Linked DNA regions of Arabidopsis thaliana. The protein of the gene in region 1 interacts with the protein of each later gene in a pairwise test. Each region holds a gene or a part of one and is shown in the gene's direction. Other genes may lie near its edges.

Evidence for each region. The genes of interacting proteins can lie anywhere in the genome.
Region 2: the proteins of AFO (region 1) and KAN interact in binary tests that used the Arabidopsis thaliana proteins (3 or more experiments, as listed by UniProt).

What each region holds. Positions count from the first base shown.
Region 1 is NC_003071.7:18,627,724-18,632,684, reverse strand, and holds AFO (Plant-specific transcription factor YABBY family protein), read left to right. Parts: upstream 1-1,905; 5' UTR 1,906-2,132; coding exon 2,133-2,246; intron 2,247-2,256; exon of another isoform or gene 2,257-2,367; coding exon 2,368-2,529; intron 2,530-2,623; coding exon 2,624-2,756; intron 2,757-3,331; coding exon 3,332-3,380; intron 3,381-3,470; coding exon 3,471-3,546; intron 3,547-3,964; coding exon 3,965-4,042; intron 4,043-4,157; coding exon 4,158-4,235; 3' UTR 4,236-4,433; downstream 4,434-4,961.
Region 2 is NC_003076.8:5,406,348-5,413,662, reverse strand, and holds KAN (Homeodomain-like superfamily protein), read left to right. Parts: upstream 1-1,896; 5' UTR 1,897-2,570; coding exon 2,571-3,300; intron 3,301-3,404; coding exon 3,405-3,481; intron 3,482-4,363; coding exon 4,364-4,409; intron 4,410-5,286; coding exon 5,287-5,434; intron 5,435-5,988; coding exon 5,989-6,097; intron 6,098-6,196; coding exon 6,197-6,298; 3' UTR 6,299-6,800; downstream 6,801-7,315. Other genes in the region: AT5G16550 (voltage-dependent L-type calcium channel subunit), read right to left, coding at 7,022-7,179, 7,289-7,315. UniProt on the Arabidopsis thaliana protein: Transcriptional repressor that regulates lateral organ polarity. Promotes lateral organ abaxial identity by repressing the adaxial regulator ASYMMETRIC LEAVES2 (AS2) in abaxial cells. Required for abaxial identity in both leaves and carpels.

The sequences.
Region 1 (4,961 bases):
CAACAAAATAACGATTTAAGTTAAACGGAAATATAAAACTAGTATATTGATAAGCAGCCGGTTAACTCGGAAATTTTAACTACAAAAATAGAATTAATTTACTTTCGCTTTCATGGAAAGTCTAGACTTGGATGATTCCAAATATTCAAATGGAGGGGGAAAAAACAATCATATAATTGACTAAAAAGCTAATGATAACCAATCAATAAAAATGGAGCATCATGTTTATCTCTACATATACATACATGATACAAACAAACAAAACAAAGTATGTTTCAATTGAAATTAAATACTAATAATTAAAAAAAAAATTAAAAAAATAGGAAAGGAATTGTATAGAGAAACGAGAAAAAGTAATGGCAGTGGTAATTAAGGAATGACAACAACGGGTGAATGAGGCGACGCTTAATCACTCCCATGCACACGTCCCTTTCTTCCCCCCACCTCTGCCGCCCTCTCTCTCTCCTCTCTTCTCTTCCTCCATTGGGAACTGCGAATTCTATTGTCAAAGCTTTAAAACTTTTTTCACTTAAATTTTTTTTCAAGAGCTTCGTCGTTTCTTAACTTACTTGCAAACACATTACATGTGTCATCACGTGCAACCCCAACCCCAAAGCCTAAGCTCGCGAATCTTCTAATGTATGCCTCAATCTTCCCTTGTTCATACTAGTACTACAATATCTTCTTCCTAAGATTTCAAAATTGATCATGAAGTGGTTTGTAGTTTAGTGGTCATCGCTATATTGATCCAATCTCATATTTTTGTCGAAAGTTTTGTATAGTAGCTATAAATTTGATTCTTTAGTTAGAATTTCTTGTTCTATTTATATAGAAACATAAATGCCTATAGCTATTTTCATATATTAACATGTGCTTTTAATTGTATAGACCAAAATTTAATTGATTGCAAAATTAGGTTTGTAATTGTTTGAGATCAGATAGAAAAAGGTCCATCTTTAAGCGATAATATCCTCAAAACTATTTTGTCATCAGTCTTGTCTCCTTGTGACCACAAGGTCATCTTAGAGGTACAACGGTATAGATGCTTAATGTCTACGTTTTCTAGTAAGGGTGAGACCGCATGGTCAACCGAATTTCTAATATAGGCATTATCAAAAAGAAATCTTATATTGGATGTTGACAACAAAGATTTAATAATAACTCGCATCATTTGACTAATTAAAAATTAAAAAAGATCTAAGTGAGATGTATATTTTTATCAAAAAAAAAGAAGTGATATTTGTAAAGAAATTGTCCAATTCTTTTGTCAATTAATATTATGTTCAAAGTAATTTAACATTTGTTTAATATCTGGATCCACTTGTCAAGATTATGCATTTTGTGATAAATAAAAACAAAGAGTGCGGTATAGTGGTGGTACAATTCAATTGTTATGTGGCAATACAATTTATAAGAATATACGGAAAAGGTATAAAAAAAACTGTTTGTGAAAAAAATGAACTGCTTATTCAAATGGTGTTTAGGGTGTAGTTCCGAAACTTATTAAAAAAACTAATGTATGTTTATTTTATCGATCATAAATTTTATTCGGCCACTTGATTTAATGAAAAATTATATAAATAGTTATTGTCTTATTAAACACCGGCATATTTATTTTTATTTGGTTTGTGTTATCTGTTCTACACCATCCAAACTTATTCCATTTATGTTGCTGGTTCACTACCGCTGACTCTGTTATACTATTCAAAACCTAAAATTGTATATAACCCATTGGAGAATTTCTTTAAAGAATATATGTATCGCTGAATTGAAATGTATAATACACCACATTATATATATACACACAGTATTACCGAATTAATTAACGAAATTAATAGTAGACGACCTAGAGGCTACAATTAGAGCATTTGTTGTTTAATTTTTACCCTCTAATATATTAATATCCCCTTTCCCTTCTCACTCCTTTCACCTCTTCTCTCTCTATATATCTTCCTTTGTGGTATATAATACACAGCAACCCAACAATCAAGAAGATCAGATCATGGTGGGGTTTTTTATTTTCTCCTTATCAAGAATCCTCTGATCAGTCAAATACCCATCAATCAATCAAATCCCCAAACACTCCCAAAAAAAGATCAGCTTCCAATATTTTTCCCCTTCTTACAAAAAAGATGTCTATGTCGTCTATGTCCTCCCCTTCCTCAGCTGTTTGTTCACCGGACCACTTCTCTCCTTCCGACCATCTCTGCTATGTCCAATGCAACTTTTGCCAAACCATCCTTGCGGTACAAAATAACCTCTCTTCAATACTTTCTCTCTCATTTTTTCTCCTCCAACTTCTCATCTTCTTGATCTATACAAGATTAGGGGTTTTTTAAATTCATTGTTTCTTTTGTGTGCTTATAGGTTAATGTTCCTTACACAAGCTTGTTCAAGACCGTAACTGTCCGATGTGGTTGCTGTACCAATCTCCTTTCGGTGAACATGAGATCATATGTCCTCCCAGCTTCTAACCAGCTCCAGCTCCAGCTCGGTCCTCACTCTTACTTCAATCCCCAGGATATTCTGGTACTTAAACAAAATTCAAATACATAATCTTATAGGGTCTCATTTAGCTTATTGGAAGTAATCTCAAGCCTCAAGGATATAAATATTATTGTAGGAGGAGCTGAGAGATGCACCGTCTAACATGAATATGATGATGATGAATCAACATCCTACTATGAATGACATACCATCTTTCATGGATCTTCATCAACAACATGAGATTCCTAAAGCACCACCCGTTAACCGCCGTAAGATACTAATTCTTCTCACTTTTATGATATTAACTTCTATGCTAACCGTGTTTATAATTTGGTTGTGATGATGAATCGCCATTAAGACATGCATAGCTTTTCTTATTTAACTTTCACTGGATCTCGTTCAAACCCTAGCACCATTGAATTAAGTCTAGAAGGAGATTTTTTACCTTTCTTTTCTTTGTATACTAGAAGGAGACATGAGAGATTATGATTTTGTATATTTAAAATATTCATTGATCCATGAACTTTAGTATGTGTTGATTGTCTACATATCCTAGATGGCTTTTAGCGTTGGTAAACATTAAAATAGTGACGATAAAAGAAACGGGGAGATAGATTCATGGATCCCCCGGAAATCTAGCTAAAGAGAAAAAATCTATGTAATATGTTAGAAGATGGGCTTGTCTTTAAAAAAACATGATGAAGTGATGATGGGTTAGAGAGAGAAAGTATTTGTGTGAGAGAGAAAAAAGACAATGAAAGTAGTTTTAATGAGTGTTTGTCTCTTTCTGTCTGAGTTTTTGTTTTTTCGCTTTGTCTTTGCCGTTGAATTTCGCCATTGCCAGCTCCAGAGAAAAGACAGAGAGTCCCATCCGCATATAACCGATTCATCAAGTGAGTCTCTTATTTAATTTTTACAATCATTCATATTCTAACCATAACTGTGTAACATTAATATAATTCCTTGTCACGTTTTTATTTTAGGGAGGAGATCCAACGTATCAAAGCTGGTAATCCTGATATAAGCCACAGAGAAGCCTTTAGTGCTGCTGCCAAGAATGTAAGAACCTTATTTCTCACATCCCAAAAATTTATATTAAACTGTTATCCATTGGTTGAATCAAATTTTAATAATCAAAAGAGTCCTTGATAATCCATATTTATCTCTAGTTCAATAAAAAAATTATTTTTTTAAACGCTGAAAATTCTAGTTAGAAGTGATGCGTTTTAAGTATTCTTTGTTTTCCTTTACTAAAGAATTTAAGCCATTGATACTACTAACATCACAACTTGGTTTAGATTGCCGGCAGAAACTAGGGTTTGATTTTATCTATGCGTATAGTTGCTCTTGTATTAGTTGTATATATATTAAACAGTCATATATGTAGGTATAGCTGAAATTAGGAGTAAAGAATTTTGTCGGGTTATAACACAAGTTGATATGTGTCTTGTACGTATGTTGTTTATGTGTAATGCAGTGGGCCCACTTCCCCCACATACACTTCGGGCTCGTGCCAGACAATCAACCCGTGAAGAAAACCAACATGCCCCAACAGGTAAACCCTAATCTGTCGACATACCTTACATCTTTAATGCATATACTTTTATGTAATATCATATATACAAATATAATTTCAATTGATTTGGATCATATCTTAAACATGTGTGTAGGAGGGAGAGGATAACATGGTGATGAAAGAAGGGTTCTACGCTCCTGCAGCTGCTAACGTTGGTGTGACTCCTTATTAAAGAGATAAATATAATCGACTAAGTATTTGAGGAATTGAAATCCAATTTCTTAGGGTTTATCATGTCCAAAAGTTGTGGTTTCTTTTCCTTTCTTGAACTTATTTATATATATTATAAATATGCATGTGTCTTTTTCTGTTGTTGTAATCAAAAATCTTGCTAATTAATGGGGTTTCTTAAGTTAATTTTCATTTGTAGTTGTATAATTAATTAACTTATCAAAATGTTTTCTTATTATTACTGAAAGCCGAATTTGAAATTTAAATAATCAGACTTTTTTAATAGATTTTTACACCATCGCCATATGTAAAAGAAACTCAAAGGAAATTACAACCACCAATTAATCCAAAGCTTTTTTTCCTCCAGAATGAATATATCACAAAAATTTAACCGAAGAGAAAACAAGAGGGGAATGATCATATTACATTTCAAAATTCAAACTAAACTAAGAATGGAAATATGCACAAGCATTTGCTTCCCGAAAACATGTAAAACGATGTGATTCTGTTCAAATTTCTCCATTCAAAATCTGATTCTTGAGATTGTTGCATATGGTTCAATCTTATTGCTCCCATTAATGGTTTTATAATAGTGATATGGTATAATTAAATAAGAACTGGGGCATGCATCAAACGACAATTGTTGTCAAAATAGAGGGAAATTAAAAGTTAAGATAAATTTATTTCGTAAGATCAAAAATTCAGTGATAGCAATAAGCTAATCTAA
Region 2 (7,315 bases), on another chromosome or scaffold:
ATGCTTTTTAAATAGATCATAATAGTATCTTGTTTAACTCACATGCAGCAAAACGTCTAAAAACTGCAAGCATACTGTACTTCTTTACTTTCCAATAATTAAAATTTATATCTAATAAGAAAAATATATATTACTGTATAATCAACGAATAAAATCTCACTTATTTAAATTTCCTGATATATAAACATAGTCTTACAATTTATCATATTTTTATTTCAAGGCATTAATGATTTGTCGAGATGTTGTATTGATATGGTCATGTGAGGAGTGAATAGTTTATTTTTTTTCTTAGAAGACAATTTAAAGAAAATTAGAAAAGAGTTATTAAATTGAGAAGGAATATTTGGGAGAATGAAAAGGGAATTAGAAGCAAATATTTAGGTTCTTTAGGGTTCACTTGTTTTTGTTTATTAAGGGAAACAAACAAAATCCACTTTCTGGCTGAGTATTTTCTTAGGTCTAATATATATTTAACTTCACGTATAATCTAAAAGCATGCATGTTACGTTACAATAATTGATCGAATTCTTTATATGACACTTGGTTTATATACGTACGAGGGCACCTTGTATTGTACACACGTATGCATATATGTATGTATTTGAAGAGAAAGATACTTTCTAAGACAATAATTTCCGTACCTTTGGAAGGCAAAACACAGAGTTTATATATTCCAAATTAAAAGTGGGATAAAAAAATATAATAATTCTTTGACAAAAACATACGAATAGTTAAATACTATTCAATTTTGTATATTTTTCATTATTTTTCAGTATGACATATTTCTGTTTCACAGTAGATAAAGTCAACTCCATAATTTTTTTTGTAGAATTATAAACGAACAATGTGAATGTAAAAATGTCGAGTACAAAGAAAACAGAAACACTAGAATGCATACATTATTACATTCGACACAAACAAGTCAAAAATATATATAAATCTGCCTAATTTTATTTCTTTTCAAGTACGTATTTTAAAGCGACATGTATATGACTTCGATTTGGCTCTAATTGATAGACAACACAAAACGGTCAAACAAGTAGCCGGTTGATATTGTAGTCACATCTCTAGGAACTAAATGTCTATACGAGCTATTCATAAACTCAAGAACGTACTGATATTTAATGTATATTTATCTCTTTAGGTATAGTTGAACAATCTACGGTCAGAAACTTGAATTTGTTTGATTCCAAAATCGTATAAGGAATTATTATAATAAGATGTGAATAGAGAGTGAAGTGAGAAGCGAAGAGAGTGGGGGAGAAAATAAAAAAGGAGTCAGAGAGGACACAGTCTCTTTCTCTCTCTCAAGTCTCAACATATGTATCCCGTCGTCTCCGGGGTACCAAAATCAAAGCACTCTCTCTTTTTTTATTTTATTTTTTTTTGGTTATAATGAAACTTTTTATTTATTTTAGAATAGGTCTTGTGTTTGTTTTTTTCTTCTTGTTATTTATTTATTTAATTTAATTTTGGCTTTTGCTTTGACTATAGATTAGATAGGACAGAAGAGAGCGACCCTTTATTCTCTCTCCTCTTGTACTCTTCTCCAACATTTTTAATTATTATTCTTCATGATAATCTGTGAACATTATTATTTTAAAGATCAATTGAGTTTTTGATTTATTACTCAAATTGTTAAGGTTTTAATGGATGATAATCGTATTAATTTTTATTGTTAAAAGTTGTATGCTTTTCATCTATGAAATTGGTCGATTATTAAATACACTTTACATTTGAAAATTTCATCTACTAAATTGATAGAAAACAAGATTTATTTTGCTATTATTCTTCAACTTTATCTATGGAAATCAAAATTTCAGTAGTTTAAACGAATAAACTAAAACATGAAATCAATTAATCTAGCCGTAAAATAATTTATATTATATTGATAGATGGGTTTACTTGTTGAAAGGTGAAAAAGACAAATTGAAATACCATCCCAAAATAAAATAAAAAGCTTCCAATATTTGGAATATAGCGAATGACAATATTACCCTTTCTCAACTATCGTTTTCCAAGATATACTCTCGAGGAACAACATCTCACACATACACATACACATACATGTACATGAACGAACACACATATATCTCTCTCTCTTACCTGTTTTTAATTTTCCTGGATTTAGTTTTATTCCTTTTTTCTCTTCTGCCTTTGCTTCACAACACACATACCTCTCTCTATCTCTCTCTTCCTTCTTTTTCTCTCTCTCTGCGTCTTACTTTGAGCATGTTTGTTTCTTCAAGAAGATCATCACTCAACTTCTCTCTCTTCTTCTAAGCTTCTCTTTAACTTCATCTCTCTCACTTTCTCCTTTCTTTCTGAGATATAGAGAGAGAAAGAGAACAAAAAAAATATCAAATCTTTCAGACACCCTTTTGACTTCTTTGCCTAAAGAATCTCTCTGCTTTCTCTTCTCCTTAGAGAAAATCATTTTAAATTCCTAAGCAAAACCCTCAGGAGAAAAAAAAAACAAAAGAATAGTCATCATCATCATCACCATCATCATCCTTATCATCATCAACAACTTCAGTGGCAGCAATAGCAAGAGAAAGGTTTCTTTAATTATGTCTATGGAAGGTGTTTTTCTAGAGAAAACCAAAACAAACACAACAACTACTCTCCCTGATCTATCTCTCCACATCAGTCTCCCAGATATTCATCAATACCATCACAATGAATCTTCTAAAGAATCTTCAAGAAGATCCTCCCAACTCGAAAACAACAACCGATCGTCCAACTTTGAACTCTCTTTATCTCATCATAACCATCCAACAGCAAGAATCTTCCATTGTCCTGATCGAAGAACCCTTAATCTTCCTCATCAGCAGCATTACAACAACCCTATCATCAATGGTGTTCATCAAAGGGTCGATGAATCCGAGATTAGTAATCTCCACCGTCCAATTAGAGGCATCCCGGTCTATCACAACCGTTCATTCCCTTTCCACCAACAAAACTCTTCATTACCTTCTCTTGGAGGAGGAGACATGGATCAAATCTCAATCTTAAACTCATCTTCCGGCTACAACAACGCTTACCGATCATTACAATCTTCCCCGAGGCTTAAAGGTGTTCCTTTGCATCATCATCATCATCATAATCAGTATGGAGTCGTTGGATCTTCAGATTCGTCTTCTCCTCATCACCATAACCATCATCATCATGGGATGATCAGATCAAGATTCTTGCCTAAGATGCCGACAAAGCGAAGCATGAGAGCTCCAAGGATGCGTTGGACTAGTAGCCTCCACGCGCGGTTTGTTCACGCTGTTGAGCTTCTAGGCGGCCATGAAAGTACACATTTATATCATAATCACATTCTAATGATCATTCCCATTTTTCTTCACTTTATTCTCAAAGTCTTAAATCTTTTATTCTTGTTGTTGTTGTGATTCTAGGAGCAACTCCAAAGTCGGTTCTTGAGCTCATGGATGTAAAAGACTTAACTTTAGCACATGTGAAGAGCCATTTGCAGGTATAATCTATACTCTATTTGAAATTAAATTAGACACAACAAAGAATCAATTTTTATTTGTTAATTTAGGTTTAATCTAGTCGAGTTAGTTCGTTACCAATCAAGATTTTCTATAATTAGGGATATTTCATAGTTTTCATCACCATCATGTCACTCTCTTCTCCTTTGCGTTTTGCACAAAAACAGCTGAATCAAGAAACAAGGTTTTTGTGTACGTATATATCATCAGAGCAATGAATAGAGCTCCAATTCTGATGTGTTACTTTTATTTTCTTGTTTTGTCTTTGCTTTAAGTTTAGTCATATTTTGGAAGAGATGGCACAATTGCCAAGAAAATTGAAGCAGTTGAATGAATTTAAAGAGAGAAAAAGAGAGAGTAGTTATAGCTTTAAGTGACTGAAACCTTTCAGAGAATTATTAAACAATGGAGAATTGAGATGATAGATAGAAGTTATTTTGGATTATAATTCATTTTTTCTTTTTTAAATTAGGAAGAGGGGACAAAAGTAGTCATCATTACTCAATGATAATAATACAATCTTTCTATTACTCAACCTTCTTTCAGACATCAACCTCGTGGTCTTAAAATCATAAATAATTAATTATATATACATCATCAGTTCCAAGACAAACCCAGAAAACCACACATATGTACTACATATATTATTTATTTAATAATATAAAGTTCATATGTGTCTGCATATATCTCTCCAGTTTGTCATCTGTAATTCTGTATCACATTATACAAAAATAAATCTATTTAGTTTATCAGTATCTTTTGTCCGATATTTATTTTGGTTTTTTCCTGTGTCTTTAATTGGATTTATGGTTTATTCTAGTTTTAGAGCTCTCATCATGCCTTTAATTTTTTTTTTTTTGCAGATGTATCGAACTGTTAAGACCACTAACAAGCCTGCTGCTTCATCAGGTACGTGTGATTCCTTTACACACACACACACATATAATGTTATGCATATTCACATTTCTTTAGTATAGCTTTTTTCAGCTTTATATATGCTAAAGAAATGGTACTGGCTTTTAATAAGAAAGATATACAATTCACCAAAAAATAACATAAGACAGATATACAATAAAGCTTAGGATTCTCCACCAGAATTTTATAGAAATGGAGGTCCAATATAATCACTATTATAGCTTTTTTTGACTACAATATTTATAAGAAATTAGTTCTCAATCAGAATTTGAAGCTGTGATTCGATATTTGTATGTATGTAGAGATATAATGACGTGAAATTATTTCTGTTATTTTTACTATTTGATTCTACTATTTCTACTATTCCCTTTCCCCAAAATAATAAAAAACGAGCCCTAAGATATTGGTCAAGCTCAAGGCTTTTATCCTTCCTTTGATTGAACCCTAAAGTTGAGTGGTCAAAGTTCAAAGCAAACCAAACAAACATATATCCCCAATATTGATGTTCTCTAAGAAAAAAAAATCGAGTAAAAGATTAAATTTAAAACGTGTGAAGTGTAAACTCATATCCAAGCAAAGTTCATGAATTAAGAATAAAGAAAAACCACTTGTTTCATATGGATTTTCTTTAACCAATTAAAAGTTTATTTGGCACAATTTTCGAGTCTGTAAAACTATTTTTTGAGACACATATTAGGTTGGTCAACACGAAATGCTGAAATTATTTTTTAAGAAAAACAATTTCTTCACTGCATTGTCTTTTACAAAAAAGCTTACAAGAATCGTTCAGTTTTAAATGAGATTCCTTATAGGGTATAAGTGATTGATTTGAGACAACGAAACTTGATAAAAAGTTAAAATAAAATTTCAGATGGGTCAGGAGAAGAAGAAATGGGCATAAATGGAAACGAAGTTCATCATCAATCATCGACGGATCAAAGGGCACAATCTGATGATACTTCTCTTCATCAAGAAACTGACATTTCTTCCACACAACCTCGTTGGAGTAACTCTTCACGGTACGTTTACGTATATACGTACATGTATTATACACACGATAAGTATATATAAACATTAGGTAAGAATAAGATTGACGAAATTTGAGATAGGGTTTAGGGTTCTCTCACCTAATTGTTCCTACTTCCTACCAAGTAATTCATACGACAATTGTTTGGTTTATCCCACATCTATCCATTTTCTTCTAACAAAAATAGTTTTTAGATGATATTTTAAGTTTGTTTTCGTTCAGTTTAAGGGGAAAAAATTTGAGTGATGGTTTTGGTTACAATGAGATGAAATTGGTTAGGGTTTATGGCTGATGAACTTTAATTATATGTACCAAGTTTTTTTTTTTAATTATAATTTGGTTTGGGTTCTTAAGATTCATCTAGGAAGACTAGGATAAACGAATTTTGCTTCATAAGTATGACATGTAGATTGTGGTCATATAGCAAGTTGCAAAAAAACGCAATTTGTGTGTAGTGATTTTTATTTTATTTTTAGGGCATCTATACATCAATAAATACAATTTGTCCTTAATTTGTTTTCTTTCTTTTCTTAAATCATAAAATAGAGAGACATGGCCATTAAGTAATAACTGCTCAAGCGACATAGATACAATGATCAGAACTTCATCAACATCAATGATCTCTCATTATCAAAGATCCAGCATTCAAAATCAGGTTCTGATAATTCCCATCTAATCATATTTGTATAGATAGATATTGCCTTTCTTAGTGTTTTTTTTGTCCTTTAATCTAATATAAAGTTAAAATTGGCAGGAGCAAAGGTCGAATGATCAAGCAAAGAGGTGTGGAAATCTTAGTTGTGAAAATCCAAGTTTGGAGTTTACATTAGGCAGACCAGATTGGCACGAGAAATGACTTTCTTGATCAATTTGGATTTTTATATATATTGGATTTTTTATTTTTTTGTTTCATCTTTCTCTCTCTATATATACTCAGAAACATGTATGCAGTATATATCTTTGTGACGATGAAATTCTCAGCGTAAAAGAAGGAGAACACGTAGAGAGCCAAGCTGCTCAAGAGTGTTGATTTTTGCACAGAGAGAGAGAATATCACTACCAAAATGAAGAAATTTGGAGGTTCCTCTTCTCAAGTTCCATTGATGATTTGATTATAAAGTGGATGATCAATGTATGAGTTTTTGTTTTTGGGTTTTCGGGTTTTTAGTTTTTTGAGGTTGATCTGGTGGTGTGATCATAAGTTATATAATTGGAAGATCATCAAAATGTGGTGAAAGTTTGGATATTTTTTTGAAAGCCTCTTGGTTGGCTAGAGGGTTTCAAGTTTTTTTTTTTTTTTTTGCAGCCGAAATGTAGAGAGAGGGAGAGATCTGAGTTGAGATTTCATATGGATACTGATCATTATTCTTTCTTAAGTACATAAAACACACAATGTATGCATACATAGATCCAAAAATCCGTAGACATTGATCACAAAATGTTTCAAGTTGCATTTTGAAATATTCTTATCATTCTTTCTCTGCTTCTTCACAACAAACTCCATAGATCATATTTATATCAAGCTTCCATTAACAACCAAAAGTCGGGGTTTATTTACAAACGCGGTAAGGACGGATTCTCAGTTGGTTGATTCGATGTTTACCTCCCGGTCTTGGTGTTGATGACGACTGATAGTGTTACCTGAAATGGCTGATCCCACCACTGAAACCGATTGCTTAGCCAAGCGTAGGCTTCCTCTTGTTCCCAACCACACCGCATAGAAAAACCCAATCCAACCTGATCCAATACCAAATTCATTTCATTCTTCAATACATATAGGAAGTAACTTGGAGTGTCACTCATTACAAGATTCCAAAACAGAATCAGAGCAGAGTATATAACCAACCTGAAGCTATTAAGACAGAAACGACAG